Macaca mulatta: one gene and its partners. The main gene of each other region encodes a partner of the protein of the gene in region 6 in a complex. Links are inferred from orthologs where the notes say so. Each region holds a gene or a part of one and is shown on either strand. Other genes may lie near its edges. The genes, in order: ACTL6B, SMARCC2, PHF10, DPF1, SMARCC1, ARID1A and DPF3.

Region 1 (4,570 bases), on a different chromosome or scaffold from region 6:
ACACAAGCATTCATATGTGCATATGTACACACATGCACCCATACGCCAACACACATAGACACATACATACAGACACATGCACCCTCACATAAGAGTCCCTCAGCTACCCCAAGTTGTCAGAGCTGCTCCTTTGCCTTTGCTACCAAAACTGTGGTGCCAGGAGCCCAGAAGAACCTGGGATCCAAGCAGTAGAAAACCCTGTTGTTAGTCCGGTGCTGCGGCTGACACCTGTAATCCCAATGACTCAGGAAGCCAAGGTGGGAGGATCGCTTGAGGTCAGGAGTTAGAGACCAGACTGGGCAACATAGTGAGGGCCCTTCTCTAAAACAAGCAAACAAACAAAAAAAACCAGGTGTGGTGGTGTGCACCTGTAAGTCCCAGCTACTCAGAAGGCTGAGGCGAGAGGATCACTTGAACCCAGGAGTTCAAAGTTACGGTGACCTGTGAGCGTGCCACTGCACTCTAACCTGGGTGACGGAAGACCCCAATTCAAAAAGAAAAGAAACAAAAACCCTCTTGTTGATAAATGCCTCCTTAGGAAAATAGGCGCTGAAGAGACAGAGAGATGGAGAAAAGAAGCTAAAGCCAGGTGGGCTGTGTGTGAACGTATGTATATGTGTGTAAGCATGTGTACACATGTATAACGCCCAGGTACTGGGGTGGTGGGGGTAGGGGTGGAGCAAGGCAAGGAAAAGAGGGGCCAGCGAAAGACAAAGGAGGGAAGTTGGACACGGTGGCTCATGCTTTTAATCCCAGCACTTTGGGACATTGAGGCCAGGAGTTCAAGACCAGCCAGTCTCTAAAAAAAAAAACAACAAACAAAGAAAAAAACAGAGAGAGATGGAGACACACCCCCACCCCCTCTGGTCCCTCTCTTAATCTTCCCTTCCCTCCCTCTCCCGGCAATTCCATTTAGGCCTGGGTGTGGCAGAACCGGGCTCAGAGCAGCCTGAAGACAGATGACCCTTCTGGGGAGTGGAGCTCTCTCCCCAGTCTTGCTTTAAAAAGTAAGGGGGTAGAGGTCGGGCATAGCACTTTGAGAGGCTGAGGTGGGAGGATCGCTTGAGGCCAGGAGTTCAAGATCAACCTGAGCAAGACCCTGTCTCCATAAAAAAAATTTTTTTAATTTGCCAGGTGTGCTGGCACCTGCCTGTAATCCCTGCTATTAGGCTGAGGAGGATCGCTTGAGCTCTGGAGTTCGAGACCAGCCTGGGCAACGTAACAAGACCTCCGTTTCCACCAAAAAATTTAATAAAAACAAAAAGCAAGGGGGTAGGGACCTCATCAGTCGTCCTGCAGAGTCTTGGTCTCCACCTCTGCCCTGCTCTCCTCTCTGCCGCCCGTTCCTTAGCGACGGTCTCTAAGTCCCTGCTAGGCGCCCCCTGCCCCATCTCCTCCTGGTCGCCTAACGGAGGGTATCTTCCCCTTTAAATCCGCGGCCCCCGGTCCGGTCATTGTCTCGCCTGGCAGCCAATCGGCGGCGCCGTTGGGGGCGGGGGATCCGGCCTCCCAATTGGTCGCCGTGCGCCCCGCCCCGCCAGGGATCCCGGGAGCTGTCCGGCCGCCTCGGTGCTGATCCCGCCACCGCCCACGGGCCGCTAGCAGCGCAGAGGGCACTATGAGCGGGGGCGTCTACGGCGGAGGTGAGCGAGCCTCCGGCCCCCTGCGTTCCGAACCCGCGCCATCCATCCGAGCTCTGGGCACCCCGGGGCCTGTCACCTCCGCGCATGAACGGGTCCAGTCTCAGGCTCGGGTTCCCGCCTCCCCTGCGCTCCGTTCTCGTGCGCACCGGGCCGAACCTCTCTACCTTACAACCCACCTCCACCTGGCCCCGGCCCCTTCCTTTCCCGTCAGGAGGGTGGCCTGAGCAAGGCCAGTGGGCAAGAAGGGACCCTGGCGGTATGATGCCCCCACCCCCAGTCCCAGGACCTCAGACTCCAGGCCCAGTTCCCACCGGCTCCAGACTGGTGTTGAAGGTGGCGAGTCTGTGGCTCTGCCCTGACTTTCTCTCGGAACTACCTAGCGGGAAAAACTTCGGGGGAGGTCCCCTTACAGGCCTGTCTCCCCTCACAGATGAGGTGGGGGCGCTGGTCTTTGACATTGGCTCCTTCTCAGTCCGCGCTGGGTACGCTGGGGAGGACTGTCCCAAGGTGAGCCTTCCAGTCTCCTCTCTAAATCCTAGGGGCTCCGGACCCTTCTTCAGGCTTTCCAGTGACCCAGGGCTCTCCCAGATCGCCCAGAAGCTCTGCTGAGCGGGAATGTGGGAATAAACCCAGGGGCGGGCTGAGGACCCTGCCGTGGGGCTGGACAGGGGCAAGAGGGTGACCCCTCTCCTGCCGATCCTCCCCCAACCCTTCCCCACCAGGCTGACTTCCCCACCACGGTGGGGCTGCTGGCCGCGGAGGAGGGGGGCGGGCTGGAGCTGGAGGGGGACAAAGAGAAGAAAGGGAAGATCTTCCACATCGACACCAATGCCCTGCACGTGCCTCGGGATGGAGCGGAGGTCATGTCGCCCCTCAAGAATGGCATGAGTAAGGGGCCCCCACCCATCACCTCCTGACAGATAGGGAGCCCACTCCCCACGATCTGGGACATAGCAGCCCCCACTCCCCAAGGAGTCTTCCTTGCAGCCCCAGGGTTCTTCTCGCTGCCAGGGTTCTTCTCGCTGGGTTCCCTTCCCAGGGGCCCAGCAGGTTTCTGGGAAGAGGGGACGTTCCCCTGGGCCTGGACTCACTGACCCTCCTTTGGGCTTGGCCTTTCTCCCTCCTTTTCTTCCTGTCCCTGACCCCTGCCTGCCCTCTTGCCTTTCTCCACTCTGCTCTTCTGGCCCCAGTCGAGGACTGGGAGTGCTTCCGAGCCATCCTGGATCATACCTACAGCAAACACGTCAAGTCTGAGCCAAACTTGCACCCCGTGCTCATGTCCGAGGCCCCGGTGAGTGCCTCCTGCCTTCCCATGTCCAACCCCGATCTCCACTGCACCTGCTTCCCACCATCCACCTCTCCTCCTCTCCCCTCAAGCCACCGATGTCAGCCACTTCCCTTCCCTTTTCAGACTCCCCTCACCCATCCCAACCACTTTCCTTCCTTCCTAAGTCTCCATCCCTCCTGCTCTCTTCTTGTTCTATCTACTCTGCTGCCCTTCTCCATCTCCAAGTCCTTTTTTAATTTTTTTTTTTTTTTACACAGAGTCTCACTCTGTCACCCAGGCTGGAGTGCAATGGTGAGATCTCAGCCTCTGCCTCCCGAGTTCAAGGGATTCTCCTGCCTCAGCCTCCCGAGTAGCTAGGATTACAGGCACCTGCCATCATGCCTGGCTAACTTTTTGTATTTTTAGTAGAAATGGGGTTTTGCCATGTTGGCCAGGCTGGTCTCGAACTCCTGACCTCAGGTGATCCACCCGCCTTGGTCTCCCAAAGTGTTGGGATTACAGGCATGAGCCACCATGCCCAGCCTCCAAGTACTTTTTAGACCTTTTAACTTATTATTATTTTGGTCAACATTGGTGAGCTGGGGATGTGGGCTCACACCTGTAATCCCAGCACTTTGGGAAGCCAAGGCGAGAGGATCACTTGAGCCCAGGAGTTCGAGACCACCCTGGGCAATATGGCAAGACCCATCTCTTTTATCAAAACAATAACAATTAAAAAAATTTTTTAACTGCATTTTAAAAAATGTTCTTACCCATATCCTTATAGATTCCTCTTTATAGAAGCAACTGTTTTTCTCCTTTTTAGCTAATTTTGGGGGTATTTTCTTCCATATCTCTAATATTACACTTAAATTGCTGCCTGTGGAGTTTTTAGTTTTAGATATTATCAATGAATTTTCCACTCTAGAAAATGATCACTTAGCTCTTTTTTCCTCCCCAGCCTATGCCACAACATATTTCTATTACCCTCCTTTAAGTACAGTGGGTTTTGTTGTTGTTGTTTTTGTTGTTGTTGTTGTTTGTTATTTGTTTTTGAGATTTTGTCTCAAAAACAGGGGCTCCGCTCAGTTTATCACCCAAGTTGGATTGCAGTGGCACAGTTCTGCAGCCTTGGTCTCCTGGGCTCAAGTGATCCTCTCATTTCAGCCTCCGGAGTAGCTGGAACTACAGGCATGAGCCACCACGCCCAGCTGATTTTTAAATTTTTTGTAGAGACAGGGTTTCACCATGTTTTCCAGGCTGGTCTTGAATTCCTGGGCTCAAGCGATCCGCCCGGGTCGTCCACCCAAAATGCTGGGATTACAGGTGGGATCCACTGCACCCAGCCCAGTTGTATTTTAGACTTTGAAAGAAATCAATATTCAGTATTTACACTCTTTTTAAGTTAGAAATAATTTTAAGAGAATCTTTTGTAGAGATGGGGTCTCATTATATTGCCCAGGCTGGCTTCAAACTCCTGTGCTTAAGCGATCCTTCTACCTCAGCTTACAAAGTGCTGGGATTACAGGCATGAGTCACTGTGCCCAGCCCAAGATTTACATTTTTATTACTATGTATGTTAATCAGGTCTGAGACAGGCAATATACACTATGATCACTTTTCCTTTCTTGTGCAACTTTTTGTTTTCCTAGAACTGGAA
Region 2 (4,101 bases), on a different chromosome or scaffold from region 6:
CGCAAGATGTAGATTTTGGGAACCTTCTGATTGAGAGGCAGGATCTTTCAGAAGAAGACAAAGCAGGGGTCAAGGCATTTGCCTTTGGGACCTGCTGAAAACTGGATAACAATACACAATTGGCACTGGCAGCTGGAGTATCAGAGGCAGCAGCTCCTGGCCGACAGACAAGCCTTCCACATGGAGCAGCTGAAGTATGCGGAGATGAGGGCTCGGCAGCAGCACTTCCAACAGATGCACCAACAGCAGCAGCAGCCACCGCCAGCCCTGCCCCCAGGCTCCCAGCCTATCCCCCCGACAGGGGCTGCTGGGCCACCCGCAGTCCATGGCTTGGCTGTGGCTCCAGCCTCTGTAGTCCCTGCTCCTGCTGGCAGTGGGGCCCCTCCAGGAAGCTTGGGCCCTTCTGAACAGATTGGGCAGGCAGGGTCAACTGCAGGGCCACAGCAGCAGCAACCAGCTGGAGCCCCCCAGCCTGGGGCAGTCCCACCAGGGGTTCCCCCCCCTGGACCCCATGGTAAGTGTCATGTTCCAGAACTTTTGTTGACTAGAAGAATCCAGGTGAATGTCCCAGTTCCCCTCAAAGGGAATACAAGATGAGTCTGGAGATGAGGTTAGCCTCAATTTCTATAGATGGGCCCATCTCTCTTAGGCCCCTAAACCAGCAGGAATCCTTCCCCAAACTCGAGAGCTTTGGAATTTTGTTCACTTACTCTAGTGTCAGAAAAAGGGAAGACAGAGCCAAGGAATGGCTAGATTATCCTTGTTTGTAAAAGTGAGTTATTCTTTGGGAGGCAGAGGCGGGTGGATCACGAGGTCAAGAGATCAAGACCATCCTGGCCAACATGGTAAAACCCCATCTCTACTAAAAATACAAAAATTAGCTGGGTATGGTGGCGGGCGCATGTAGTACCAGCTACTCTGGAGGCTGAGGCAGGAGATTGCTTAAACCTGGGAGGTGGAGGTTGTAGTGAGCCAAGATCGTGCCACTGCACTCCAGCCTGGCGACAGAGTGAAACTCCGTCTAAAAGAAAAATAAAAAAGAAAAGAGTTGTTAAGCAACATTTTATACCTAACTTTCTCCATCTCTCATCTTTATTCTTAGGCCCCTCACCGTTCCCCAACCAACAAACTCCTCCCTCAATGATGCCAGGGGCAGTGCCAGGCAGCGGGCACCCAGGCGTGGCGGGTAATGCTCCTTTGGGTTTGCCTTTTGGCATGCCGCCTCCTCCTCCTCCTCCTGCTCCATCCATCATCCCATTTGGTAGTCTAGCTGACTCCATCAGTATTAACCTCCCCCCTCCTCCTAACCTGCATGGGCATCACCACCATCTCCCGTTCGCCCCGGGCACTCTCCCCCCACCTAACCTGCCTGTGTCCATGGCGAACCCTCTACATCCTAACCTGCCGGCGACCACCACCATGCCATCTTCCTTGCCTCTCGGGCCGGGGCTCGGATCCGCCGCAGCCCAAAGCCCTGCCATTGTGGCAGCTGTTCAGGGCAACCTCCTGCCCAGTGCCAGCCCACTGCCAGGTGAGAAGGGGCCAAGAGGGGAGAAGGGTGAGGGAGAGGGGTCCACATGGAGGGAGGGTGAGCGGGCAGGTGGGGGAAGAGGTCAGGTACTAGACTTTCCACAGTCTTTTTTGAACACTCTGGTAAAATTAGAATACAGGAGGAAAGGCCTCTCTGGCTGTCCTCCACCAGTCCCCAGCCTGGCAGCTGCCACCTTTGGGATGGTATTGGGGCCTTTCACTGGTGGGTCATGGAGCAATCCTGTGGCAGAGAGCATCAGTTGTAAACTTGAAAAGCAGCTGTTTGCATGATGATTGTCATCCCTTTGCTTATTCCTATCACGTTCAGATGCCCTATTTAGAGAGTCTCCTTTCTATCAGTTTTTCTCAGTATGAGGTAGAAGAGGGTGTTGGGAACAGAAGTTGAACATTGTGGGTACCTCATTCATCCACCCAACCACTGCATGCCATGCCCGGTTCTGTCTGTATTGGTCTGGGTCTGGAGCCCTCTCTCCTGCGCAATCTAACTGATTCATCTTACTTTTCTCCACAGACCCAGGCACCCCCCTGCCTCCAGACCCCACAGCCCCGAGCCCAGGCACGGTCACCCCTGTGCCACCTCCACAGTGAGGAGCCAGCCAGACATCTCTCCCCCTCACCCCCTCTGGAGATCACGGTTCCAGGAACAGCCCTTCCCCCACCACTGGGACCCTCCCCAGCCTGGAGAGTTCATCACTACGTAAGGAAAGCTCCTTCCGCCCCTCCAAAGCCCTCACCATGCCTAACAGAGGCATGCATTTTTATATCAGATTATTCAAGGACTTCTGTTTAAAAGATGTTTCTAATGTCTGGGAGAGAGGATAGGATGGGAATGCTGCCCTAAAGGAAGGGCTGGTGAAAGGTGTTTATACAAGGTTCTATTAACCACTTCTAAGGGTACACCTCCCTCCAAACTACTGCATTTTCTATGGATTAAAAAAAAAAAAAAAGTAGATTTTAAAAAGCCACATTGGAGCTCCCTTCTACCCACTAAAAAATAACCAATTTTTACATTTTTTGAGGGGGAGTGAGTTTTAGGAAAGGGGAATTAAAATTCCAGGGAGAGCTCTGGGGATAGAACAGGGTGCAGATTCTGTCTCTCCCCAAGCCCCTTTTTAGTGACTGAGTCAAGGCCCCAGCTCCCCTAGCCCACCCTACACTGAGCTTATTCGAGTTTATTCGTACTAATGATCCCTCCTGCGGCTTCCTCATTGTTGCTGTTTTAGGCCACCCCAGCTCAGCCAATGATTCCTTTCCCTCTGAATGTCAGTTTTGTTTTTAAAAGTCACCTGCTTAGTTGATGTCAGCGTATGTGTATTTGGTGGGGAAAACCTAATTTCGGGGATTTCTGTGGTAGGTAATAGAAGAAAGGGCAGTGGGGGCTGTTCTCCTTCCTTCCCTGGGCTGTATCCATGGACTCCTGGAAGGCGCAGAGAAGGGAGCTGTAAGAGGATGCGAAGTTTTAAAACCTGAAATTGTTTTTTAAAGCACTTAAGCACCTCCTTATTATGACTTGGTGGGTCACCCCTTAGCCTCCTCCCTCTCCCACCAAGACTGTGAGAACTTCAGCTGATAGCTGGGGGCTCCCCAGATGAGGATGCAGGGATTTGGGAGCAGTGGAAGAGGGTGCCCAACCTTGGGCTGGACCAACCCTTGGCTCGGAGCTCAACTCTGCTTCCTGCATTCCTGCTCCACGTCCCAGCTCCTCCCCTGTGACTGGAAGGCAGGTGTGCCTCCAGGCTCTGCACTGGTTCTTCTTGGTTCCTTCCACCAGGCCCTTTGTTCCTCATGTCCCCGTGTTTCTCTCCCTCTGCGTCTTAGCACCTTTCTTCTGTTCAAAGTTTTCTGTAAATTTTCTTTTTTTTTTTTTTTTTTTTTTTTTTTTATAAATTAATTTGCTTTCAGTTCCATCTTGTGGGTGCATTCTGTGTTCTTCTTACCTGTGGCTGTCAGGCAGGGGGACTGGGATTGGAGCAGCTTTCCTGGAGTCCTTCACAGCGGCGTTTACCCGGGCCGCAGAGACATTATGCAAGCCACAGGGCCTAGACACTGCGCCTCCCCACAAAACACGAACAGCAGCACAGATGTCAAGACTGTGTGCTGGTATAGGAGCAGAGGCTCTCACCTGCCCTAAAAGCTGTTTAAGACTTGGAAGGACATTCCCACAATAATGGAATTTTGTATCTTTATCCCTTCAGAAGTAGTGGTTTCACTCCTTCCCTTATTAGGGAGGAGGCAAGTCCCTTACCTCCTTTTGTTGTTATTGGCCCTTCGCCCTGCTGAGGTGATGGACAGGCTTAGGCAGTGCTAATAATGGCCTGGTTTTAGCTCCAGTAAACACTCCACAGGCTTCCCCACAAAAGGCCTTACTGGGAGCTTGGGAGGGCGGGGGCCAGATTTAAGGAGCTGGAAGGCTAGGAGAAGACAGCCTGATACGGAATGGAACAGGGATGGCCAGCCTTGGTCCTACCAGGATCTTAGGTAGGACCAATCTAGTAGGAGATTTCCTAATCTCCCAAGAGGTAGCTTGTGTAAGATGGATGAATGGGGCCA
Region 3 (3,804 bases), on a different chromosome or scaffold from region 6:
GATGAAATCTGGATGCCTCTGTCTCTGCCTATTTTGTTTGGGTTTGTCAGAGACAGATGCTGGGAGTTCTATAGCACCTCACTGCTCAGGGTATGTTCTGTGGTCCAGAGCACTATTATTGCTCAGAAGCTTGTTGGAAATGCAGAATCTCAGGCCCAATTCTAGACCTGTGACTCAAAGTCTGCATTTTAACAGATGTCTGTATAATTCACGTGCAGGTTAGAGTTTGAGAAACACTGACTTTTACTGCAGAGAAGATGAGAGAAGGAGCAGAGGGGCAGGCACGGGCACCTAGGTGCCTCAGCCACATTGCTGACCTGGCCTGGCTGCTGCTCCAATCTGGCCCCTAAATGCTACTTATCTCCTATTCCCAAACTGAATGTAACTGAAAAAAAACAGGGCTAACAGATTTTTTTTTTTTGAGACAGAGTCTCACTCTGTTGCCAGGCTGGAGTGCAGTAGCGCGATCTTGGCTCACTGCAACCTCTGCCTCTTGTGTTCAAGCGATTCTCCTGCCTCAGCCCCCCGAATAGCTCGGACTACAGGCACATGCCACCACGCCCAGCTAATTATTTGTATTTTTGGTAGAGGTGGAGTTTCACCATGTTGGCCAGGATGGTCTCGATCTCTTGACTTTGTGATCCGCCTACCTCGGCCTCCCAAAGTACTGGGATTAAAGGCCTGAGCCACTGCACCCAGCCCATTTTGTTTTAAAGTCTCAGCTTTTACTTCAACCTTAAGCCTTACTCTGGAACCGTATGTTTTTCATAATAGACTATTTTTTTAGAGAATAGAATTTAAAGTATAGTATCATAACTCACACCATTTGAAAGTCACATCTTGGGCAGAAATTTTTTAAATTAAAAAGGTTTTTTAATTCAAATTTAAATCATGGGCAGCAGTTTTTTTAAAAGTTTTTCTTCAATTTTTTTTTTTTTTTTGAGATGGAGTCTCATGCTGTCACCCAGGCTGGAGTTCAGTGGCACGATCTCGGCTCACTGCAACCTCCACCTCCCGGGTTCAAGTGATTCTCCTGCTTCAACCGCCCAAGTAGCTGGGATTACAGGTGCTTACCACCTCGCCCGGCTAATTTTTTGTATTTTTAGTAGAGACAGATTTTCACTCTGTTGGCCAGCTGGTCTCGAACTCCTGACCTCTGGTGATCTGCCCACCTTGACCTCCCGCAGTGCTGGGATTACAGGCGTGAGCCACTGCACTCGGCCTTAAATTTTTAAAAATTTTACTCTGGTGTCAGCAAATTATTAAAAGTCATATGCAAGTATACCAACTCCTTTGCTTTTTGGTGTGTTGTCTTAGTTGGAGAAGTCCTGATCCAGGGTCGCTTCCTGAATGAGGACTACTGAGGGTGAGAATGGAGGTGGCACAAAGCATTGCTGTCTGACCTAGGGGAAGAGATTGCCAATCTAGTTTCAGAAAAAATAGTTGATTAGATTTTTTAGAATACATGCTTCCCAAATTTGTTTACAATAATTTGTTACTAAAAATTTTGCTTTCTATATTAATATTAAGTAATATCATGTACCATGCACTGGTGTATGAGGTAGATGCTATTATTAGGCCTGTTTTACAAGTGGAGTGATAGCACAGAGAAGTAGCAAAGACCTGGAACAGTGGTGGACGTGGATGTGAGCTGGCAGTCAGACTTGGGGCTACTGACATTTTATTTACTGTTTTGTTTTTTTGGGTTGAGGGCAAAGAGGAGAGGCGCATTATCTCTTAGAATCAAATGCATATTTTACATAAGTCTAGTGAAAAGATGTTCAGGCTTTTTATTAACCCTACTTGATGACAAAAATTAAAAATTAATACTCTATTTTTCGGAAGTCTTTGGAGTTACTCAAGAAGTTTAAGGCTCTCTTCATAGGTCAACGATGAGTCTATTTATATTTAATAATAAAGGGAAACCAAAAATAAACGCTCTGAACTTCAGGTACTCACCAGATGAGCTGCGGTATCTGCCATTAAACACAGCCCTATATGAGCCCCCTCTGGATCCTGAGCTCCCTGCTCTAGACAGTGACGGTGATTCAGATGATGGCGAAGATGGTCGAGGTGACGAGAAACGGAAAAATAAAGGCACTTCGGTGAGAACATTTCTCTCTAGTGGGAAGCGTTTCCTTTCTCTTTGAATTTTTGCTAATTGCTTTCCTGGAATGTTACATTGAACTTCTGTCATCACCCTCTCTTTGAAAAAGGATGGTTGCATGTAATTTCCAGAAGGTATTCATCAAGAAAAGTTATTTATAGTATGTTTTGATAAAAAACAAGCCGTGTGTGGCCTTTGGTAAGATTTATACTTAAAATCGCCCCTTTGTAGTTACCATGAGCGATTTAGGCAAGGATATTGGAAAATTAGCTTACAGTCATTTATTCAACTTGTTGTCTCTTTAGCTTAAAATATTGAACAAAACAGAATTTGATCTCTTGACACAGAAATGTAGTTTTCTTAGTTTAGGGGAGTGCATTAACTTAGGTTTCTTTTGCTTAATCTTAGGCTTCCTATAGGAAAATATTGTGTTTAGTAATATGTTGTGCAATTTGTTGGGTTTTCCTGTATGACTCTTTTTTTGTAGCAAAATGCGCTTGCAAAACAATGGGCAGCTGGTGAATTCTGTGGATCTGAAGGAGAACAGAATCCCCTTGATGGTTTAGGGCTTTGATCACAGTGATGACATAGGGCTTTGAATTTCTTTAGCATTGTGTTTTAAGTAACTGGCTATTTCAGACTTTTCATTGAAGCCAATCTAAATGTGAGGTTGTGCTACCATTGAATGGACATTATTTCCTTGTCCCCAGCAGCTTCTAAAACATCTTTAATAATACATATTATGCAAAATAAGATGCTGTTCAAGTATTAAAGTGGTGATACAACTTTTCTCCTGTTATGTTGCTAAAAGGGGAGCTATGGCATGCAAAGGGGGATGAAGCTGACTTCCTTTCATACTGCTAGGAAAAGTGGAAACTAATCCAACATTATGGGAAAGCGTTTTGACAGTCTTACCAATTTAAGTTCCACAGAATTTGACCTCGCAAATCCACTAGTAGAATTTATCCTAAGGATTTAATCAGATGCTGAAAAAAATTTAATTAGAATAAAAAGGTCTGTTTGAGTGTTTACAGTATTTTTTATCCTGGAAGTTACAAATAAATTTTAATGCCCACAGTGGGTAATATTATATTACATTTATAGGATAGAAATGCAGTTCAAAGAATATTTAATGATTGTGAGAACATGCACATAATGCTTTTAAAAAAATACCAAAACACACACATGCATACACACGCAGTGTAATCCAGTTTTGTGTTTTAAAAAATGAGGGCACAATGAGGTTAGGGGGTATGTGTGAGTCTCGGTATCTTTATGTATATAAGTGGACACCCAGAAAAAAGATGAAGTGGATATATTAATGTTTCTAGTCAGTGTGTGTTTATCAGGGAGGCTCTAGATAATCTAATTTTTTCATTTATAATTTTCATAATTTATATGAAAGTTCTAATTAGAAAATTTAAAATTATAAAATGAAGAATTAAATCATTAGATATTGAGGTCTTAAACCTTGAATATATGCAATCTTTCACATCCTGTTGTAGATAGTTGAGGGATTGGCTCTGCATGGTTTAACATTATGAAAACACAAATGTGTACTCGAAGGAATTTTTTTTTTTTTTTTTTTTTAACTGCAGCACTTCATTTTTCCTGAAGGACCTTCTTAATGACTTTTAGTACTCAGTGAAAATACCCACACTTATTTGTAACAATATATTTTTGTGTGAAACAAATAT
Region 4 (3,804 bases), on a different chromosome or scaffold from region 6:
TGACAGGTCTCATTCGTGGAGCAGGCGCAGTGGTCGGCCCCTGCCACAGTCTGACCTCATTGAATCCCAGAACAGCCTGCAGGGGTGGGGGATTTAATACCCATTTTACAGATGAGGAAACTGAGGCTCATCTGTATTAAGCCATTTGCAAAGCAGAGATTATGCAGTGGGTTAGAGCTACCTTCATCCCCGTGCCGCAGAGGAAGAAGCTAAAACTTGGAGAGGTTTGAAGCCCCACAGCTAGGACATTTGCAGAGCTGCAATTTGAATTTGCAAAAGACTCTGTTTTCTCACTTTCTTTTTTCCTTTTTTTTTTCGAGACAGAGTCTTGCTCTGTCGCCAGGCTGGAGTGCAGTGGTGTGATCTCAGCTCACTGCAACCTCCGCCTCCTGGGTTCAAGCTATTCTTCTGCCTCAGCCTCCTGAGTAGCTGGGACTACAGGCATGCGCCACCACACCCAGCTAATTTTTGTATTTTTAGTAGAGATGGGGTTTCACCATGTTGGCCAAGGTGGTCTCGAGCTCTTGACCTCATGATCCGCCTGCCTTGGCCTTCCAAAGTGCTGGGATTACAGGCGTGAGCCGCCGCGCCCGGCCTGTTTTCTTACTTTCTTGGCCTCTCACTCCTGACTCTCCCTACAGGCATATGGCATCGGGGGTCTTCGGAAACGCCAGGACACCGCTTCCCTGGAGGACCGAGACAAGCCGTATGTCTGTGATAGTGAGTCCTTCTGAAGAGGGGGAAAGGCAGAGAGAGGGGGGCCCAGAGAATCCCCACCTTGTGGCCCTCTGCCTCCTGTACCAGACCCGGGTTGGGGGGATGCTCAGGTCTCTGGCCGAGGGGGGGAGGTGTGATCCTGGAGGCCAGGGTGGAGGCAGCATGGGCCTGGAGGGGCTGACAGGCCCTCCTGGCTCGCTCGCTCCCCAGTCTGTGGGAAACGGTATAAGAACCGGCCGGGGCTCAGCTACCACTACACCCACACCCACCTGGCTGAGGAGGAGGGGGAGGAGAACGCCGAACGCCACGCCCTGCCCTTCCACCGGAAAAACAACCATAAACGTGAGCTGGCAGGCCAGGTGGGGGTGGTAAGGGGCCCTGGGAGTGGGGAAGAGGAGCCCAGCTGGGGGTGGGGGTGGGGGGGCATTAGACATTTCTGGAAAATCTCCAGCTCAGCCGTTCCCTCCCCCCACCGACCATGGGGATGCTGGCTCTGGGGTTGCCATGGCAACCAACCATCGCTCCTTCGCTCCCGGCCGGGCGTAATATTTCTGGGTCTGATTTATTGTTTCAATTAGAGCTTGGGGAGGGGGGGTGTGATAGATGGCTCCCCTCCCGCCCTGCCTTCCCTTTCTCCTTTCTCGGCTAAGCTTTGGTCAAGGGGCAGGGTCTGTGACCTGGGAGCCCTTGGCGTCCGCCCGTGCCAATCCCATGCCAGTTCTGACAGCTGAGGGATGGGGGCGGGGAGGAGGGTTTGGGAGAGGCAGCATCTCTCAGAGGCAGAGGCTGAGTGTCCTCACCCCAGGCCACTACACACCTGGGCACCTCGGCGTTCAGAATTTTTCTTCTGAGTGTCTGTTTCTGTACCAGATCTTGGCTCGGGGTACTCTCTGAATTTGTTAGATACAAATTACTGAGGGTGCACTTGGAAATGGGTGGCTGGGAGACATGTATGTGAGAAGGGAAGCAGGGAGCCCTTCTTCACGCTGTCTTTACCAAGTTTTGACCCAATAAAGAGGACGGGTCAGTTGTCTCAAGGAGTTGGGAATCCTGACTGGGTGCAGTGGCTCACACTTATAATCCCACCATTTTGGGAGGCTGGGGCGGGAGGATCGCTGGAGGCCAGGAGTTGGAGTCCAGCCTGGACAACATACCAAGATGCTGCTTTTATTTTTAATTGAAAAAAAATAAATAAATAAAAAGAAGAGTTGGGAGTCCCGATGAGAACTGTTTTCGCCTCTCCCCACGGCTTAGGGTAGCTACTCACTCTTCCCATCTCCCCACACCTGGACTAAGAGGTCCATCCCTGGGGCTGAGGCTGGGGGCAGGGTGGAGCCTTGCCTGTGGTGAGAGTCCCTCTCTCTGTCCCCCTCACCCCAGAGTTTTACAAAGAATTGGCCTGGGTCCCTGAGGCACAAAGGAAACACACAGGTATGGACGCCTCCTTCTGCTCCTAACGTCTGCAGCCACCTTTGCGGGGTGCCCTTGCCTGCCCCGTGCCAATGCCTGTCCGCTGTCTTGCAGCCAAGAAGGCGCCCGACGGCACTGTCATCCCCAACGGCTACTGTGACTTCTGCCTGGGGGGCTCCAAGAAGACGGGGTGTCCCGAGGACCTCATCTCCTGTGCAGACTGTGGGCGATCAGGTGACGCTCCCCACCTGAGGTTTCTGGGGGCCGGGTGCAGAGGACATTCAGGAGTGCAGACCTGGAGGGAGGGAGGCAAGGTGGTGAGGACTGAGGGGACCCCGAGCGTGTAGGGGATACTGGGGATAACCAGAGCTAGCGAGGCTGATGCAACTGCTGAGGATGGTGGGAATTGGATCGGATCAGTGAGGCTTCAGGGATAACGGGATGTGGCTCTCATGGCACTGTGGGTAGCGGCCTGTGCTTAGCATGGCATCAAGAGTAGTGAGAGGCCGGGTGCAGTGGCTCACGTCTGTAATCCCAGCACTTTGGGAGGCAGAGGTGGGAGGATCACTTGAGGCCAGGAATTTGAGACCAGCCTGAGCAACATAGCAAGACCCCCATCTCTACAAAAAATTTAAAAATTAGCCAGGTGTGTTGTTGCGCACCTGTAATCCCAGCAACTCAGGAGGCTGAGGCTGGAGGCTCCCTTGAGCCCAGGAGTTTGAGACCAGTCTGGGCAACATAGTGAGATCCCATCTATTAAAAACAAAATTAGCTGGGCATGGTGTCGCACCCCATTAGTCCCAGCTACCCAGGAGGCTGAGGTGGGAGGCTGCTTGAGCCCAGGAGGTTTTTTTTTTGAGATGGAGTCTCCCTCTGTCACCCAGGCTGGTGTGCATTGGCACGATCTTGGCTCACTGTAACCTCCGCCTCCTGGGTTCAACTGATTCTTGCGCCTCAGCCTCCTGAGTAGCTGGGATTACAGGCACACGCCACCATGCCAGGCTAATTTTTGTATTTTTAGTAGAGACAGGGTTTCACCATGTTGGCCAGGCTGGTCTCAAACTCCTGACCTCAGGTGATCTGCCTGCCTTGGCCTCCCAAAGTGCTGGGATTAAAGGCATGAGCCACTGCACCCGGCCCCTTGAGCCCAGGAGTTTTTGACCAGTCTGGGCGACATAATGAGAGCCCATCTATTAAAAAAAAATAGGCCGGGTGCAGTGGCTCACATCTGTAATCCCAGCACTTTGGGAGGCTGAGGTGGGTGGATTACAAGGTCAAGAGATCAAGACCATCCTGGCCAACATAGTGAAACCCCGTCTCTACTAAAAATATAAAAATTATCTGGGTGTGGTGGCGCGTGCCTGTAATCCCAGCTACTCTGGAGGCTCAGGCAGGAGAATCGCTTGAACCCAGGACTCCGAGGTTTCAGCGAGCTGAGATCGCACTACCGCACTCCAGCCTGGGTGTCAGAGCAAGACTCCGTCTCAAAAAAAAAAAGCTGGGTATGGTTTCGCACCCCATTAGTCCCAGCTACTCGGGAGGCTGAGGTGGGAGGATTGCTGGAGCCCGGGAGGTCAAGGCTGCAGAGTGGGCTCTGATGGCACCACTGTGCTCCAGCCTGGGCAACAGAGTGAGACCCTGTTTCAAAAACCAAAACAAGACAAAAGGAGTAGCAAG
Region 5 (3,804 bases), on a different chromosome or scaffold from region 6:
GTATTTTGTGACAGAAGTCATTGGAATCTGCTGTAACAGAATCTCAGTCTCTCTCTCCATTTTCGTATGTTCTTTTCTGGATTTGGTCTCATGGATTCTACTTGTTGCCCAGCCATGATCTCCCTTAAAGAACTGCCACGAGAAGTTACATAGCTATTTTCAGAGCCAAATCCACGTGCCACATTTGAAATACAGAAGTGATAGGCAACAGAGGTTGAGAGCATAGATTGAAGAGCCACCACACTGGGTGCGATGAATTCTGGCTCCATCAATTACCAACCCTGTGGCTAGGACAAATTCTCTAACAACTCAGTGTTTGTTTCCTCACCCATAGATGGGATGATAGCAGACCCTACCTGCAATATGGAGCGATTATGAGGATTCAGTTGTCAGACATACATTGCTTATAACAGTGCCCTGCACACAGTAAAGTATAGATATGTGGTAGTGAGGCAGATAGCCTATGTAACCATGTGTTAGTTTCAAATTCTGCAGTTAACTACCACCATGACCAAGTTTGAATTTATGTTACTTCACATGAATGTCGTTACATTACTTGTTATTATACATTAGTAAACAGTTGTTTTGCATATTTGTGGTTCTAAATTCACTCATAACTTAATATGCAATATAATATCACCGTTTTTTTATGCTCTTGTCTTAATTTATTGTATTTCTAAGGAATCTGAAGATTTTTGAGTTTCTGAGTAACATTGTTTCTGAAAGGATACGTGTCCACCTTATGAATTTTGCCATTGCTTTTTAGATACTTGGCATATCGAAATTTTATGATTGACACGTATCGCCTAAACCCCCAAGAGTATTTAACTAGCACTGCTTGTCGGAGGAACTTGACTGGAGATGTGTGTGCTGTGATGAGGTAAAATGTTTGACTTTTTCTGAGACATTTAACTGTAGGAATTTACTTATGCTTTGCTGTCATATTAAACTGGTTGTTTCAACTGGGTAAAACACCTAATTTTAGTTGTGTCATTTAGGGGTGGATTATATTTTGTTTCCTTTCATTTCATTCAATTTATTTTATTTTTATTTTATTTTATTAATTTAATTTTATTGTCGAGATGGGATTTCATAATGTTGCCAAGGCTGGTCTCAATCTCCTGGCCTCAAGCAATTCTCCTGCCTCGGTCTCCTGAAGTATTGTGATTGCAGGCGTGAGCACTGTGTTCAGCATTAGAGGTTGAAAATTTAAAATATTTAATTTAGGCTGGGTGCAGTGGCTTACGCCTATATTCCCAGCACTTGGAGAAGCCAAGGTGGGCGGATCACCTGAGGTCAGGAGTTCGAGCCTGGCCAATATGGTGAAACCCCTTCTCTACTAAAAATATAAAAATTAGCCGAGCGTGGTGGCACATGACTGTAATCTTAGCTATTGGGGAGGCTGAGGCAGGAGAATTCAGGAGGCAGAGATTGCAGTGAGCTGAGATTGTCCCACTGCATTCCAGCCTGGGCGACAGAGCGAGATTGTGTCTCAAAAAAATAAAATAAGTAAGATAAATATTTAATTTAGTTTTCTAGATTTTACAGTTCACATTTTAATTTTTTTAGTCAAATCATAAAATAACCAGGGAAGGAGTAGATTCAGGTTGGGAGTGGATAAACTCTGCGCCCTAGCTCTGCCAAAAAAAAAACAAAAAAAAAACCCGCCAGGTACAGTGGCTCACACCTGTAATCCCAGCACTTTGGGAGGCCGAGGTGGGTGGATCACCAGAGGTCAGGAGTTCGAGACCAGCCTGGCCAACATGGTGAAAGCCTGTTTCTACTAAAAATACCAAACATTAGCTGGGCATGGTGACGGGCACCTGTACTCTCAGCTACTTGGGAGGCTGAGGCAGGAGAATCGCTTGAACCGAGGAGGCTGAGTAGGTTGCAGTGAGCTGAGATTGCACCATTGCACTCCAGCCTGAGAGACAGAGCGAGACTCTGTCAAGAAAAATGTGGATTTTTTCTATGTGTGTATTTGGTCTGTGTGTGGGTTCTTTTATTACCATGGACCTAAATGCGTATTTGTGCTCTCATTTCTGTGATTTAAATGATTAAACTTTGTAATAGGTTTGGGGGGTGCTGTGTTATCAACATTATTTGTGGCTTGTAGAAATTGTTCCCTACATAACAAACAAAATCTGTCAAGTAATTTGTGGTGTTTGATAGCCTGCTGAGCACATTTACTTGTTTTATTGTTTCTGTTTTTTAATGGTGTAATGATGATAATAAAGCACATGAAATTGATTCTTTAGATTTTAACTTTCCGAGCTTTATTCTTTAGGGTCCATGCCTTTTTAGAGCAGTGGGGACTCGTTAATTACCAAGTTGACCCGGAAAGTAGACCTATGGCAATGGGACCTCCTCCTACTCCTCATTTTAATGTATTAGCTGATACTCCCTCTGGGCTTGTGCCTCTGCATCTTCGATCACCTCAGGTAAATTAATGTTGACTTTTCATCAGACCTGAATAGTAACAAATGTCTGTTTATAGCATATCTATTTAGGAATGCTGTTGTTAGTGCTGTTTCTTTGATGCTTGTTTGTATGTGTGTTTTGGTGTACTGTAAATATTACAGTCCAAAAGAATATATAGTGTTTAAGTTAATGCTGTCCCACCAATCCCAAAACCCAATGCCTTAGTCTATCAAATTATTAATTTACTTTTATATGCATAACTCCCTTTATCCTTCTGTCATCAAAAAGACACACATAAGTAAGCAGATGATGCAAAATCTTCTTTCCCTTCCTTCAGTCTGTGTTCTAGAAACGTGAAGCAAAGAAATCTTTATAACTTGTCCTAAGATTTGTAAAGTGGACATCCATATATACATTATCAAACAGATTATGTCAGACAAATTCTGTATAGCATTAAGTTGGATTCACAGGAACCTAAGGTATAAATTTTGTTCCATTGTGAAATAGAATATAGTAATGAAAATTTGTTATCCTTTCTGGACTTAAGGGACACCAAAATGTAACTTGTATGTTGAATTTTTGTTAGAAGTATAGTGTAGAAGTGTGGGTATTTATTGTTTTTCGTAGGAAATCCACCAAGAGTGGCTTAAGTTCCAATATTAACCTTTTTTTTTTTTTTTTTTTTTTTTTTTTTTGGAGACAGAGTCTGTCTCTGCTCCCCAGGCTGGAGTGTAGTGGCATGATCTTGGCTCACTGCAATTTCCGCCTCCGGGTTATAAGCAATTCTACTGCCTCAGTCTCCTGAGTAGCTGGGATTATAGTCACATGCCACAACGCCCAGCTAATTTTTGTATTTTTAGTAGAGATGGGGTTTCACCATTTTGGTCAGGCTGGTCTTGAGCTCCTAACCTTGTGATCCGCCCGCCTCGGCCTCCCGAAGTGCTGGGATTACAGGCATGAGCCACCGCGCCCGGCCTAAACAAATTTTAAAAAACGTTTACCCTCTTGACTTTAAAGAGGCTAACTCAGCCGTTTATCATTTATTTGACTCAGGTTCCTGCTGCTCAACAGATGCTAAATTTTCCTGAGAAAAACAAGGAAAAACCAATTGATTTGCAGAACTTTGGTCTACGTACTGATATTTACTCCAAGAAAACATTAGCAAAGGTAAGGATTTTTTTTCTAATCACATGTAGGCTACAATCCAGCACATCTTAGTCCTTCTAAGATACATCTGATGAGCTTTCTACTCAAATCTGATGGTATTTTTAAAAACAATTATGATTTATCTTACCTTTTATATTCCCATATGACTTAGTAGATAGGTATTTTAAAAATAACACTATTAGAGAAATTCGATGGGAAAATGGAGAATTTGAAGAG
Region 6 (3,510 bases):
CAGCAAGGTGTCTAGTCCAGCTCCCATGGAGGGTGGGGAAGAAGAAGAAGAACTTCTAGGTCCTAAACTAGAAGAGGAAGAAGAAGAGGAAGTAGTTGAAAATGATGAGGAGATAGCCTTTTCAGGCAAGGACAAGCCAGCTTCAGAGAATAGTGAGGAGAAGCTGATCAGTAAGTTTGACAAGCTTCCAGTAAAGATCGTACAGAAGAATGACCCATTTGTGGTGGACTGCTCAGATAAGCTTGGGCGTGTGCAGGAGTTTGACAGTGGCCTGCTGCACTGGCGGATTGGTGGGGGGGACACCACTGAGCATATCCAGACCCACTTCGAAAGCAAGACAGAGCTGCTGCCTTCCCGGCCTCATGCACCCTGCCCACCAGCCCCCCGGAAGCATGTGACAACAGCAGAGGGTACGCCAGGGACAACAGACCAGGAGGGACCCCCACCTGATGGACCTCCAGAAAAACGGATCACAGCCACTATGGATGACATGTTGTCTACTCGGTCTAGCACCTTGACCGAGGATGGAGCTAAGAGTTCAGAGGCCATCAAGGAGAGCAGCAAGTTTCCATTTGGCATTAGCCCAGCACAGAGCCACCGGAATATCAAGATCCTAGAGGACGAACCCCACAGTAAGGATGAGACCCCACTGTGTACCCTTCTGGACTGGCAGGATTCTCTTGCCAAGCGCTGTGTCTGTGTCTCCAATACCATTCGAAGCCTGTCATTTGTGCCAGGCAATGACTTTGAGATGTCCAAACACCCAGGGCTGCTGCTCATCCTGGGCAAGCTGATCCTGCTGCACCACAAGCACCCAGAACGGAAGCAGGCACCACTAACTTATGAGAAGGAGGAGGAACAGGACCAAGGGGTGAGCTGCAACAAAGTGGAGTGGTGGTGGGACTGCTTGGAGATGCTCCGGGAAAACACCTTGGTTACACTCGCCAACATCTCGGGGCAGTTGGACCTATCCCCATACCCCGAGAGCATTTGCCTGCCTGTCCTGGACGGACTCCTACACTGGGCAGTTTGCCCTTCAGCTGAAGCCCAGGACCCCTTTTCCACCCTGGGCCCCAATGCCGTCCTTTCCCCGCAGAGACTGGTCTTGGAAACCCTCAGCAAACTCAGCATCCAGGACAACAATGTGGACCTGATTCTGGCCACACCCCCCTTCAGTCGCCTGGAGAAGTTGTATAGCACTATGGTGCGCTTCCTCAGTGACCGAAAGAACCCGGTGTGCCGGGAGATGGCTGTGGTACTGCTGGCCAACCTGGCTCAGGGGGACAGCCTGGCAGCTCGTGCCATTGCAGTGCAGAAAGGCAGTATCGGCAACCTCCTGGGCTTCCTAGAGGACAGCCTTGCCGCCACGCAGTTCCAGCAGAGCCAGGCCAGCCTCCTCCACATGCAGAACCCACCCTTTGAGCCAACTAGTGTGGACATGATGCGGCGGGCTGCCCGCGCGCTGCTTGCCCTGGCCAAGGTGGACGAGAACCACTCAGAGTTTACTCTGTACGAATCACGGCTGTTGGACATCTCGGTATCACCGTTGATGAACTCATTGGTTTCACAAGTCATTTGTGATGTACTGTTTTTGATTGGCCAGTCATGACAGCCGTGGGACACCTCCCCCCCTGTGTGTGTGTGCGTGTGTGGAGAACTTAGAAACTGACTGTTGCCCTTTATTTATGCAAAACCACCTCAGAATCCAGTTTACCCTGTGCTGTCCAGCTTCTCCCTTGGGAAAAAGTCTCTCCTGTTTCTCTTTCCTCCTTCCGCCTCTCCCCGTCCACCACCTCACGCCTTTCTGTTCCTTGACCTCACCTTACTCCCCTCAGGACCCCACCCCACCCTCTTTGAAAAGACAAAGCTCTGCCTACATAGAAGACTTTTTTTATTTTAACCAAAGTTACTGTTGTTTACAGTGAGTTTGGGGAAAAAAAAATAAAATAAAAATGGCTTTCCCAGTCCTTGCATCAACGGGACGCCACATTTCATAACTGTTTTTAATGGTAAAAAAGAAAAAAGGAAAAAAATACAAAAAAAAAAATTCTGAAGGACAAAAAAGGTGACTGCTGAACTGTGTGTGGTTTATTGTTGTACATTCACAATCTTGCAGGAGCCAAGAAGTTCGCAGTTGTGAACAGACCCTGTTCACTGGAGAGGCCTGTGCAGTAGAGTGTAGACCCTTTCATGTACTGTACTGTACACCTGATACTGTAAACATACTGTAATAATAATGTCTCACATGGAAACGAGAAAACGCTGGGTCAGCAGCAAGCTGTAGTTTTTAAAAATGTTTTTAGTTAAACGTTGAGGAGAAAAAAAAAAGGCTTTTCCCCCAAAGTATCATGTGTGAACCTACAACACCCTGACCTCTTTCTCTCCTCCTTGATTGTATGAATAACCCTGAGATCACCTCTTAGAACTGGTTTTAACCTTTAGCTGCAGCGGCTGCGCTGCCACGTGTGTATATATATGACGTTGTACATTGCACATACCCTTGGATCCCCACAGTTTGGTCCTCATCCCAGCTACCCCTTTATAGTATGACGAGTTAACAAGTTGGTGACCTGCACAAAGCGAGACACAGCTATTTAATCTCTTGCCAGACATCGCCCCTCTTGGTGCGATGCTGTACAGGTCTCTGTAAAAAGTCCTTGCTGTCTCAGCAGCCAATCAACTTATAGTTTATTTTTTTCTGGGTTTTTGTTTTGTTTTGTTTTCTTTCTAATCGAGGTGTGAAAAAGTTCTAGGTTCAGTTGAAGTTCTGATGAAGAAACACAATTGAGATTTTTTCAGTGATAAAATCTGCATATTTGTATTTCAACAATGTAGCTAAAACTTGATGTAAATTCCTCCTTTTTTTCCTTTTTTGGCTTAATGAATATCATTTATTCAGTATGAAATCTTTATACTATATGTTCCACGTGTTAAGAATAAATGTACATTAAATCTTGGTAAGACTTTTGTGAAGCTTTTTATTTTCAAACTAAAACTTGACCTTTGTCGGGGGGTAGGAGGTAGTCCTGTTTTTGCAAACCTCCCTTAGTGTGAGATCTCCCCTAAATAGTGGCATCTGTCCAAAATAAGACAACCATTTATCTGGAGGCAACCTCCAACTTAATCACTTGTAATATCTCTGGACTGGCTCTTTTCCCTGACTCCAGACTAGAGCATTCAGCCATCTTCTTGTCATCCCTGCTTGGAAGTTTACTTTGAACATGCCAAAGCTAAAATGTCCTGTCTTCCCCCACTAGAAACCTGCTTCTACCATAGTTTTGGTTTTTTGTGTTTTCCTTTCAGTAAATGGCAACTCCATTCTATCACGTGCCAAAAAAATCCTTGACTTCTTTCACTTCCACATCCAATCTGTTAGCACTCTACAAAGTAATCCTCAATCCCGCACTACTACTGTAGTTCAAGACACTGTTATATCTTGGATTCTTGAAATACCTCCAAATTGGCCTCCCTGCTTCTGCTTTGCCTGGTTGAACCTATTCTCAACAGAAC
Region 7 (3,804 bases), on a different chromosome or scaffold from region 6:
GACCCCATAATTTGCTGTGTATTAACTTCAGATTATCCAAAAAGCTAAATAGAAAAAGCCACGAGCAGATCCACAGTGCACCTCAGGGGCCTCTTTGGGTCCGGCTTCCTGAGTCACATGGAATTGAGATGCATAGTACTCTTTTATTTTATTTTAATTTTGTTTTTTTACAATATTTATGAGAGAGTGGAAGAGAGAATATATGAATGTAAGTAGCCAATGATAGGCCTATTTATTTTAATTTTTTATTTTTTTAGATTCAGGTTTGTTACATGCATATATTACATAATGCTAAGGTTTGGGCTTCTATTAAACCTGTCACCCAAATTCTGAACATAGTACCCAACCGGTAGTTTTTCCAGCCTTGTCCCCTTCCTTCCCTTCCCTTCCCTCTTTTGGAGCCCCCAGTGTCTGTCATTTCCATCTTCATGTCTGTGTGTACCCAGTGTTTAGTATATTCCATGGAATATTACACAGCCATAAAAAAGAACAAAATCATGTCCTTTGCAATATGGATGCAGCTGGAGACCATTATCCTAAGTGAATTAATGCAGAAATAGAAAATCAAATACCGTATGTTCTCACTTATAAGTGGGAGCTAAACATTGGGCCTTGAATTTATAGTCACTAGGTCACCAACTTGAATTTCAGACTCTCCTCTTGTCTTATCAAGGAAGTCCAACCAATTGCCAGACTTTATAATATGAGGCAAGGGTCAAAGTCCCTCTTTTCAGGAAGGTCCAGTACTTAAGATGCAGCAAAAAATGCTGACAGCCCTTGCCCCTCATTTACCATTTACTGAGCATCTATTATGCTGGGTATTGAGAGAACTGCTTTACAAATGCTATTTATAATCCCTTTACCCATCCTTCAAGGTAAGTACTGTTATCCTCATTTTCAGATAAAAGAAAAGGCACAGAGCTACAGCTTGTCCAAATCATGCAGCAAAACTCAATTCATTTTTAGAAATCAACATGACCATAAAATTGAAACCTAATAAAAGATAGTCCCAAAATTATAGATCGAGCTCAAGTCTTAGCACAGATTCAAGATGCAATATTAGAAAACAGAATGCAGCAGTATATCAAATAAACAATATACTCTGACCAAATGGAGTGCATTCTAGGAATTCAAGAATGGTTCAATAATAAGAAATATTAGGAAATCAACGTAATTTACCTTATCAACAAACTAAAGGAGAGTCATATTATAGTAGATGCTGAAAGGGTAGTTGCTAGAATTCTCCTATAATAAAACTCTATAACAGGAATAAGAGGAACTACTTAAATGTGGTAAAGACTAAAAATTAGCCAGATACATCATTCTAAACAGTGAAACACTAGATCTGCCTTCGTTAACATTGGAAATGCTTGCTTTTGCCATTTAAAAATATTGTTTTGGTGGTTCTTACAAATGATCTAAGCTATGATCAAACAGTTTCTGTAAATATGGGGAAGAAGAGATGACATTATCTTGGCCAATGTTTGTCTACTGAAAAACTCCAAGAGAATCTGGTAGGAAGAGAAACTCTATCAGAAGTAATAAGTAATATCGGAAGTAACTCTATCAGAAGTAATAATTATCAGAATAATATCATTGGAGAAGATGACTGGATAACAGCATTTCTCTATACTCTCAGGACCACACAGCCAGTGAACCTCAGCAGCTGGAACTGGGATTTGAACCCAGGCCTGCTGCTGAAGTTGTGCTCTTCCCACCTTGTGAAGCATTTATGCTTCCTTGTATGACTCGGTCATGTCAGCCCAAGGGAGAAGTCTTTTAGAATTTGTAACTTTCAAGCACTCCAGCAGAGCAGTTTGGTTGGCTGTGATGGGGACCCAGGCTGGGGGGCAAGCATAGAAGGTTGGCATGGACGTTTCACTGGGAAGACTCTTCGAGGTTTCTGCTACCAGCAATGCCGTCCCCCTGGGGGCTGAGATAATCAACTGTACGTGGGGAGGCTGAGGGTGGTAGTGTGACCTTGAGCCATTTAGCCAGATTTCTGCTTCCCAGGAACTGAGCATCTAACCAACAGAACTGCTGCCCTTTCTTCTTGGCTCCAAGAAGGCACATTTTGATTGCTCGCTGCCCTTGGCTCAAATTGCCCCATTTGAGAGGTAGTACTTGTGAGAGCACATTTTACAGATTTGGCTGCCCTAGGGCATCAGGAGCACCAGCTCTTGGTGACTACACTCACTAAGGATGCTTTAACTCCATGGCGTTCATGGTGGAAGTGGAGCATGTGTTTCTGGCACAAAATCACTGGGTGAGACATCAGAAGTATTATCCAGATAAAACTTTTCTATTTCTTGCAGAGGCCAACCATGGGGTGGTGGAAGGGACAGTGCACAGGAACCCAGGAGACATGGATTCTGGTGGCTCTGCCACACTAGCTGTGTGTTCCTGGGCAAGTCACTTGGCGTTGCTGGGTCTCACTTGCCTCATCTGTGTCATGGGATGTTGGATTGGGTAGATTCCCAGTGTCCTTTGAATTCAACGTTATAACAATTACCCTTACAACATGCCTGACACTGTTTTAAGTACTTTGCATAGAGATAAACTTATCACAATAACCCTGTGAGGTAAGTACTGTTAGTATTCCCATTTTATCTCTGAAGAAACTGAGGCACAGGGAGGTCAAGTGACTTGCCCTGGGTCTCACAGCTAGAAACAGTGGAGTGCTCACGCAGCTCTTAACCTCGTTTTACTTTTACAGTTTTTCTTTCCATGAGCTGAGTTGTTATAAGGGTGTTGGTTCTGTTGGGTGGGGGAAAGGGGTGTTAGGATGGGAGACAGTTTTAAGGGAAGCCTGGCTCTGGGGTGGATGGATGGGGTCACTGTCTGGGAGAATGATAGCAGTGGCTGCACAGGTTGCTAATATTTGCCTTTCTCCCTTTTTTCCTCTTTTCCTCTCTAGTCTGTGGCAAGCGCTACAAGAACCGACCGGGGCTCAGCTACCACTATGCTCACACCCACCTGGCCAGCGAGGAGGGGGATGAAGCTCAAGACCAGGAGACTCGGTCCCCACCCAACCACAGAAATGAGAACCACAGGCGTGAGTGCCTACTTGTTAGGTTGGGGCAGTGAAGAAGTGGGTTAGGCAGGCTGGGGAGCGTTCCTTGTTCCTTTTTCTCACTGCTGCGCTAGCATCTTCTGGTAGCAAACTTTGAGTGGTCTCAATGTGCTGTAGTGCATTGGCCCTTTCAGCCAGCCAGTCAGCTGCCCCTGCAGCTCAGCCCAACAATAGCAGGGCTGGGCTCACACACCCTGCTCTGCTCCCAGAGGAAGGAAGGTGTTAAGCAGAAGAGAAAGTCCTTACCTGGCCACTGTCAGATGCCAGACCTACAACTCTTTTCCCTCAGCTCCTCAAGAGCCACTCAGACTGGGTTGGGCATAGGTCATGGGTGTATCAGTTCAGACAGACATTCGAAATGCCTGCTTGGCCACTAAGAGCCTTAGAGTATTCTTATCTATTGGTGTGGTTTTGTTGTAGAGAGGGGGGGATCACATTTTGGTACAGGGCTCTCCTACCTTAGAAACGCTGCCTGGAGACCCCATGTTCTTTCCTTCAGCATTCAAATGGCAAATGTGATCTGGGTGGATTTGTTGTTTGGGATGTTGGGCTCTCCAGACCCAAAGTGATCCTGAAGATTTGTGTTTCCATTTCTGTGCTTTCCTACCTCAACTTCCAATTATGAATTAGGGAATCCAAAAGGGCTTAGCATTTTCCACTTGACTTTCCTCTACAATATCCCGTGTGGTCTCTGGGCCTGCAGAAACCTCAACATAGAAATGGGATAATGG

The links.
Region 1: ARID1A (region 6) and ACTL6B share a complex: the UniProt entries of both Homo sapiens proteins name them as parts of the neuron-specific chromatin remodeling complex. The link is inferred for Macaca mulatta from reciprocal best matches to the Homo sapiens genes ARID1A and ACTL6B.
Region 2: ARID1A (region 6) and SMARCC2 share a complex: the UniProt entries of both Homo sapiens proteins name them as parts of the neuron-specific chromatin remodeling complex. The link is inferred for Macaca mulatta from reciprocal best matches to the Homo sapiens genes ARID1A and SMARCC2.
Region 3: ARID1A (region 6) and PHF10 share a complex: the UniProt entries of both Homo sapiens proteins name them as parts of the neural progenitors-specific chromatin remodeling complex. The link is inferred for Macaca mulatta from reciprocal best matches to the Homo sapiens genes ARID1A and PHF10.
Region 4: ARID1A (region 6) and DPF1 share a complex: the UniProt entries of both Homo sapiens proteins name them as parts of the neuron-specific chromatin remodeling complex. The link is inferred for Macaca mulatta from reciprocal best matches to the Homo sapiens genes ARID1A and DPF1.
Region 5: ARID1A (region 6) and SMARCC1 share a complex: the UniProt entries of both Homo sapiens proteins name them as parts of the neuron-specific chromatin remodeling complex. The link is inferred for Macaca mulatta from reciprocal best matches to the Homo sapiens genes ARID1A and SMARCC1.
Region 7: ARID1A (region 6) and DPF3 share a complex: the UniProt entries of both Homo sapiens proteins name them as parts of the neuron-specific chromatin remodeling complex. The link is inferred for Macaca mulatta from reciprocal best matches to the Homo sapiens genes ARID1A and DPF3.

The regions. Positions count from the first base shown.
Region 1 is NC_133408.1:47,859,163-47,863,732, reverse strand, and holds the start of ACTL6B (actin-like protein 6B), read left to right. Parts: upstream 1-1,596; 5' UTR 1,597-1,618; coding exon 1,619-1,643; intron 1,644-2,073; coding exon 2,074-2,150; intron 2,151-2,365; coding exon 2,366-2,531; intron 2,532-2,833; coding exon 2,834-2,934; intron 2,935-4,570. UniProt on the Homo sapiens protein: Involved in transcriptional activation and repression of select genes by chromatin remodeling (alteration of DNA-nucleosome topology).
Region 2 is NC_133416.1:63,314,371-63,318,471, reverse strand, and holds the end of SMARCC2 (SWI/SNF complex subunit SMARCC2), read left to right. Parts: intron 1-132; coding exon 133-514; intron 515-1,102; coding exon 1,103-1,531; intron 1,532-2,062; coding exon 2,063-2,139; 3' UTR 2,140-3,458; downstream 3,459-4,101. UniProt on the Homo sapiens protein: Involved in transcriptional activation and repression of select genes by chromatin remodeling (alteration of DNA-nucleosome topology).
Region 3 is NC_133409.1:2,316,588-2,320,391, forward strand, and holds part of PHF10 (PHD finger protein 10), read left to right. Parts: intron 1-1,951; coding exon 1,952-2,105; intron 2,106-3,804. UniProt on the Homo sapiens protein: Involved in transcription activity regulation by chromatin remodeling. Belongs to the neural progenitors-specific chromatin remodeling complex (npBAF complex) and is required for the proliferation of neural progenitors.
Region 4 is NC_133424.1:49,289,777-49,293,580, reverse strand, and holds part of DPF1 (zinc finger protein neuro-d4), read left to right. Parts: intron 1-641; coding exon 642-720; intron 721-927; coding exon 928-1,059; intron 1,060-2,097; coding exon 2,098-2,148; intron 2,149-2,241; coding exon 2,242-2,361; exon of another isoform or gene 2,362-2,682; intron 2,683-3,334; exon of another isoform or gene 3,335-3,804. UniProt on the Homo sapiens protein: May have an important role in developing neurons by participating in regulation of cell survival, possibly as a neurospecific transcription factor. Belongs to the neuron-specific chromatin remodeling complex (nBAF complex).
Region 5 is NC_133407.1:111,044,911-111,048,714, reverse strand, and holds part of SMARCC1 (SWI/SNF complex subunit SMARCC1), read left to right. Parts: intron 1-766; coding exon 767-880; intron 881-2,287; coding exon 2,288-2,441; intron 2,442-3,474; coding exon 3,475-3,588; intron 3,589-3,804. UniProt on the Homo sapiens protein: Involved in transcriptional activation and repression of select genes by chromatin remodeling (alteration of DNA-nucleosome topology).
Region 6 is NC_133406.1:214,203,132-214,206,641, reverse strand, and holds the end of ARID1A (AT-rich interactive domain-containing protein 1A), read left to right. Parts: coding exon 1-1,609; 3' UTR 1,610-2,961; downstream 2,962-3,510. UniProt on the Homo sapiens protein: Involved in transcriptional activation and repression of select genes by chromatin remodeling (alteration of DNA-nucleosome topology).
Region 7 is NC_133412.1:145,837,054-145,840,857, reverse strand, and holds part of DPF3 (zinc finger protein DPF3), read left to right. Parts: intron 1-2,917; coding exon 2,918-3,055; intron 3,056-3,804. UniProt on the Homo sapiens protein: Belongs to the neuron-specific chromatin remodeling complex (nBAF complex).